Linked DNA regions of Sus scrofa. The protein of the gene in region 1 binds, or shares a complex with, the protein of each later gene. Links are inferred from orthologs where the notes say so. Each region holds a gene or a part of one and is shown on either strand. Other genes may lie near its edges.

Evidence for each region. The genes of interacting proteins can lie anywhere in the genome.
Region 2: the proteins of H3F3A (region 1) and CARM1 are in contact, whole or in part, in a crystal structure (PDB 5DWQ), measured with the Homo sapiens proteins. The link is inferred for Sus scrofa from reciprocal best matches to the Homo sapiens genes H3-3A and CARM1. Residues at the interface, in NP_001365972.1 of Homo sapiens: Gly14, Lys15, Ala16, Pro17, Arg18, Lys19, Gln20, Leu21; in NP_954592.1 of Homo sapiens: Gln148, Tyr149, Phe152, Tyr153, Gln158, Asn161, Met162, Asp165, Glu257, Pro258, Met259, Gly260, Tyr261, Glu266, Val340, Leu412, Thr413, His414, Trp415, Tyr416, Ser447, Lys470, Pro472, Phe474.

What each region holds. Positions count from the first base shown.
Region 1 is NC_010452.4:13,945,652-13,948,575, forward strand, and holds the end of H3F3A (histone H3.3), read left to right. Parts: intron 1-2,187; coding exon 2,188-2,316; 3' UTR 2,317-2,325; downstream 2,326-2,924. UniProt on the Homo sapiens protein: Variant histone H3 which replaces conventional H3 in a wide range of nucleosomes in active genes. Constitutes the predominant form of histone H3 in non-dividing cells and is incorporated into chromatin independently of DNA synthesis.
Region 2 is NC_010444.4:69,625,995-69,629,648, reverse strand, and holds part of CARM1 (histone-arginine methyltransferase CARM1), read right to left. Parts: intron 1,227-3,654; coding exon 1,101-1,226; intron 1-1,100. UniProt on the Homo sapiens protein: Methylates (mono- and asymmetric dimethylation) the guanidino nitrogens of arginyl residues in several proteins involved in DNA packaging, transcription regulation, pre-mRNA splicing, and mRNA stability.

The sequences.
Region 1 (2,924 bases):
TAAGGGCTTTAAAAGTGACTGATGTACTATGCCAATTATGAGTGCCAAGGAATTAGGAGGGTTCAAAGTTATCTGCACCTGGGAACTAGGGGCAAGAGAAGTGTTTGGTTTCTCCTTCATGGAATAGTCTTGAACTCGGCCTTAAAAGGTAGATAAATAAAACTTGGCTCTTGATAACAAAAGATGAAGAAAGTCATGTAAGGATAGTAAAATTTGAGTGAAACAAATTTTTATAGAAGAGAGATAGGCTAAAAAGGTAAAGGTGCAGTTCCTGCTATGGTGTGGCTGTGTCTCTGCAGCTCTAGGACACAGGTTCGATCCTGGCCCAGCATTCTAGGTTAAAGAATTTGGCATTGCTGCAGCTGCAGCATAGATTACATCTGTGGCTTGGATCTGATCCCTGGCCCAGGAATTCCATGAGCCTCCAAAAAAGGAAAGAAAAAAAAAAGATGAATGGCATAAACGTGAAGGTTACAGTTTTTTTCATAAGGTGGACTAATGTAGACCATTTGAATTAATCGTTGCTGTTAGTACTTTTAAAAGCAGATCTCAAGTTTTATTGGCAAAGTCAGAAAAAAGTTGGTAAAAAGTAAATCTGGTTCTTCCCATTTGTATATCTTGTGTGTTATTTAGTATTGAGGGGCTTGAATTGCTCAAGTATTTTGTGTTTCTTTTTGTTTTATAGTTACCTAAAGGTTCCAAATTGAAGTTTGTTTTGTTTTGTTTTAAGGCCACACCTTCTGGCGTATGGAGGATCCAAGGCTAGGGGTTAAATCAGAGTTACAGCTGCTGGCCTACGCCACAGCATAGCAACTTGGGATCTCAGCTGTGTCTGTGACCTACACTGCAGCTCACAGCGACCCACTGAGCAAGGTCAGGGATTGAACCCCAATCTTCATGGATACTAGTCAGATTCATTTCTGCTGTACCACAATGGGAACTCCTGGAAATAATTTTAAATGTGTCTTCAACAGAGAAAACTTGCATGTAGAGAGGCCAGATAAGGTCTTCATTCAGTATTCTTAATCCACTAAAACAGTTGGACTGATGACTAGACTGGTAAAACAAAACAGTAGCTTCATTTCAAAATGAGTAAGCAGATGTTTTAAGTTGGACTAAAGGATTCTTCAACTTTTCAGATAACTATAAAATGTATAATAAAAGTTAATTATAAAAACATCTTATACTGTTTTGGGGAAAACCAGAGGGGTCAATATTAATTCTGGGGGGTTACAAATGCCAGTACATGTTGGGGTACATGGGGGGGGTACAGTTAGTAGGGGAAAGTAGGGGGCACAGCAGCAAAATAGGTTAATGTATGTAAATTAAGACGCAAGTGTTCTGGGACCCTGTAGTACTCTGAAAACTGAGGTGTTAAAGAAAAGGTAGAGAAGAAGGACCTTATGATGGAAACCTGTGGTCAGCTATATATATATATATTTTTAGGACCTCATACATGGCATATAGAGATTCTCAGGCTAGGGGTCAAATTGGAGCTACAGCTGCTGGCCTACACCACAGCAACGCCGGATCTAAGCCACGTCTGCAACCTGCATCACAGCTCACAGCATCACGTATCTTTAACATTAATCCCTTTAAAGCCAGGGATTGAACCCACATCCCCATGGATATTAGTCAGGTTCCTAAAACCTGTAAGCCACTATGGGAACTCCAAAATTGGATTTCTTGACTTAACTCAAGATATGCTTTACTAGAAATCACACATAATGTTAGAAAAAATGAAACTTTTTAAGTAACGAAATAAGTTTTGTATTATTTGGTAAAGATTAACAAGCTTGAGCTTTTCACTTTTCATAAGCTGCCTTTCAGCCTTGTCCCACAAATTATAATATGTAACCATTTGGGAGTTCCCACTAGCTGTTTAGGAACCAGTGTAGGTTGCTGCTGAGGCCTGGATTTTATTCCCAGCCCAGCATAGTGGGGTAAGGATCTGACGTTGCTGCAACTGTGGCTCAAATTTGATCTCTGGCCCAGGAACTCACACATGCCATGGGTGCAGCCAAATTAATTATTTAATTAAAAGAAAATGTGAGCATTTGGTAAAATAGTCAACATCTCCTGAAGTAGGATTTTAAAGGGCTCAAAAACTTGATCATTTTAACTGATAAAGATGTATCTTAACTGTTTACATTAACATTAATATGTTTTTCTTTATTCCTTTTGTAGGAGGCAAGTGAGGCCTATCTGGTTGGCCTTTTTGAAGACACCAACCTGTGTGCTATCCATGCCAAACGTGTAACAATTATGCCAAAAGACATCCAGCTAGCACGCCGCATACGTGGAGAACGTGCTTAAGAATCCACTATGATGGGAAACATTTCATTCTTTAAAAAAAAAAAAAATTCTCTTCTTCCTGTTATTGGTAGTTCTGAACGTTAGATATTTTTTTTCCATGGGGTCAAAAGGTACCTAAGTATATGATTGCAAGTGGAAAAATAGGGGACAGAAATCAGGTATTGGCAGTTTTTCCATTTTCATTTGTGTGTGAATTTTTAATATAAATGCGGGGACATAAAGCATTAATGCAAGTCAAAATGTTTCAGTGAACAAGTTTCAGCAGTTCAACTTTATAACAATTATAAATAAACCTGTTAAATTTTTCTGGACAATGCCAGCATTTGGATTTTTTTAAAACAAGTAAATTTCTTATTGACTGCAACTAAATGGTGTTTGTAGCATTTTTATCATACAGTAGATTCCATCCATTCACTATACTTTTCTAACTGAGTTGTCCTACATGCAAGTACATGTTTTTAATGTTGTCTGTCTTCTGTGCTGTTCCTGTAAGTTTGCTATTAAAATACATTAAACTATACCTGCTTTTGGTCTTTACTATCAACTTACCCGTACAATCTATTCACTTGAAAGTTCCACATTCAGAATAACTTTAATTGTATCAAGTG
Region 2 (3,654 bases), on another chromosome or scaffold:
AAAAAAGGATAGGATTGAAAGGGGAAAAAATTAGACTATAAACATTCACAGAGCAGAAAAAGACTAGAGGGATCTACATCAACTCTTAATGACAACTCTGGTGGTGTTTCTGTAACTTCTTTTTTTAAACATTGAACTGGGATTAATTATGTACATAAAGAAGGAACCTGGGGAATTCCTGCACAGCACAGTGGGTTAAGGACCTGGCCTTGTCTCTGCAGCAGCTCAGGTCACTGGTGAGGCACAGGTTTGATCTCGGCCTGGTACAGTGGGTTAAGGATCTGGCGCAGCCACAGCTGTAGCATAAGTCACAGCTGCAGATTTGCTCCCTGGCCTAGGAACTTCCCTATGTCTCAGGTGCGGCCATTTAAAAAAAAAGAAGAAAGAACCGGAGCTTAGAGCGTAAGAATGCTTCTGGTGGGAGGCAGTCAGTCAACTGGCTGCTTTCTCCCAGCTCTGCAGCGAGGCCACACCAGGGCGAGCAGTCCTGAGTGTCTGGGCTATGGGAGTAGCCTCCCTCCGTCGGGGTGCTGGGACAGGTAAGAGAGCTCTGGGGGAGCTGGGGGCAGGCAGTCTCTCTTTGGCTCTGCAGTTGGCCTGGACACACACACACACACACACACACACACACACACGCACACACGCACGCGCGCGCGCGCGCGCCTGCCCTGAACCACTGGCAGCTCCTCCCTGTGGCTTCCCAAGCCCCGCTCAGGAGCCTCATGTGTCCCCCAGCTGCATCTGCTTAGCTCCTTCAGTGTTTCCTCCATGCTCCGAACAAAGCCTCCACCAACCTGGAGACCTCATCCTGTCCCCTCCACTGCTGTGGGAGGGCTGGGCCTCAGCTGGAAGGTCAGGCCAGGCCTCTCAGAGGAGGGGATATATAAGCCAAGCCCGGGAGGTCCCAGAAGGGCTGGCAGGGTCTGGGGCAGTGTCCACACAGCAAGAACATATTCCTATCATGGACTTATTTCTTCACGGAATATGATTTCTGATGTCCGTGGGGCATTTCCTGGGTCAGGATTTAACCAGGCTCCAACCCCCCTCCACACCCCCACTCTGGGCACTCCTTGTGCTGCTGGGACAGGTAGGACACGTACCGCTGGGTGTGGCAAACTGGATGAGGACGCTGTTGCAGCCGAGGGTGATGATGAAGGACTGCTTGCCCACACGGCTACACTCTGTCTCCCGGGACACTGAGCACTTGAACACACAGACGTCTTCATCTGCAGGAGCAGGAAGGAAGCTGTGAGCCGACAGGTCCTGGCCAGCCTGGTCAGGCTCCCCACTGGCTGCCTTTGTTCAAGTCCTGTCCCGCCAAACTCCCCGTCCCTCCTCACAACTTCCTAGATGCTTCCAGAGTGCCATACCCCGCAGAAGCACTGCCCCGTACCATGCCTGCCCAACCCATGCTGAGGACAAGGTGATGGCCAATCACATCTGTGGGGGGAGGTACACAGCCTGTCCAGTGGGAGAGGACAGCTGTCCGCAGGGCGACCAGGACTGGGGCGGGGAGGGCAGTTGCCCAGCACTGTGAGGTCCAGGGGACACCTCTGCCAGGATGACCCCTCACCAGCACCTCCTGGTACCAGACCCCATGCTGCTCAGTGGGCAGTGAGGTAGGAAGACACATGAGAAAAGGGCAAGTCTGGTGGGGACTGAGGGTTCACAGGAACCCAGCAGGGCACCCCAGGCCCAGCTGAAGGAGTCAGGCCTTCAGTCACTGGCCCTTTTGTGACACATGGGGGTATCATCAGTCTTCAGAGCTGAGCAGGGCTGGGTGGAGGGTGAGAAACAAATCCTGGTGGATGGAGTTCTCTGGTGCCATATAGGCTAAGGATCTGGCGTTGTCACTGCTGTGGTGCAAGTTCGATCCCTGGCCCAGGAACTTCCACATACTGCAGGTGCAGCCAAAAAAAAAAAAAAAAGAAAGAAAAAAGAAAAGAAAAAGAAACCCCAGTGGATTTCAAAAGTAATCTTTTTTTCCCCACAATTTTTACTTTTTTTCAAGGTTTTATTTTGTTTTGGTCTGGCCTAAAGCATGCGGAAATTCATGGGCCAAGGAATGAACATGTGCCATAGCAGTGATCCGAGCCACAGCAGCGACAGTGCCAGATCCTTAATCCACTGCACCACCAGGGAACTCCTTTCAAAAGTAATCTTTGAAATTTGAAAATAAAAGCAGAAAGGCAATGTCTTAGTATAGAAAGATGATTTCAAACTGCTGAAGGGACCAAGGGACAGCAGTCATGAGCGGCGGTCACATCAGACCAGAGGTATACACTCTGCACCTTTGTCAGTGGATGCCTCCCCCAGTTTTCCTGCATCTCCTCCTCACTCAGATTTTCCCTCTGGGACAGGAGACATTTGATTTCTCTTCCTCACTTTGCCCTCTCAGCACCTGGAGACCACTCACCCGAGGCCTGGATGGTCACCAGGGTTGGTCAGGCTGATGATCCAGAGAGAAGAAGTGGCCATGAGTGCACAGTATGTGCTTATATACGTGTGTGCACACATGTGTGAATGAGACAGTAGATGGTTGGGTGTGGCTCAAGAAAGGAATCTCCATTCTGCTTCCTCCAGCTGAGCCCTTTCCTTCTTGCATGTATTGTGTGTGGCCACTGAAGCTGGACAGCCTGTGTTCATGCCCCACCTGTGCTACTCAGTATCATGAGGGCAGGGCAGAGCCCTCAGTTTTCTCATCTGTCAAGCAGAACTAATGGTGGGACAGGCGAAGGGCCCACCACACACATATGGAGAGAAGCACTGCATCCCCGAGCCCGCCACCACTATTGTTACTGCATTCTCTCAACCAGCACAGGGCGCCCCACCTTGGCCAACATCACCAGGAGACAGACCAACCCAACACTGTGGCCTGGATGTCGGACAGTGGGATGGACACCCTGGTCCCATTAGAAGGGGACAACTGTACCAGATCAGGGGCAGTCCAAGACAGCCTCCCTGGTTGCCTCAGGAAAAACCTAAATTGCTGGAAACTATTCCAGAGTAAAGGAGACTAAAGAGCCTTGATGATCAAATACGAGGTGTGGTCCAGCTATAAAGGACAACTGGGGAAGTGTGTGGACCGCAGGAGCCATAATTTTAAATGATCTAGATGTGACAAGAGCATTATTCTGTAGAATGCCCTTATCATTAAAAGATACGTCTGGGGAGTTCCTGTCGTGGCGCAGTGGTTAACGAATCCGACTAGGAACCATGAGGTTGCGGGTTCGGTCCCTGCCCTTGCTCAGTGGGTTAACGATCCGGCGTTGCCTGAGCTGTGGTGTAGGTTGCAGACGCGGCTCGGATCCCGCGTTGCTGTGGCTCTGGCATAGGCCGGTGGCTACAGCTCCGATTCAACCCCTAGCCTGGGAATCTCCATATGCCGTGGGAGCGGCCCAAGAAATAGCAACAACAACAACAGACAAAAGACAAAAAGACAAAAAAAAAATAAAAAAATAAAAGATACGTCTGGAAGTAAATTCCTGTGATGTCTACAACTTGCATTTGACTGCCTCGTCAAGTAAGCAACAAAATACAGTTATAGAGAAAAGCAAGAGGACAAATATGGCAAAGTGTTTCCAATTGCCCCATAATAACCAAAATAATCTTGAAAAAGAACAAAATTGGAAGACTCAAATGCCCGATTTCAAA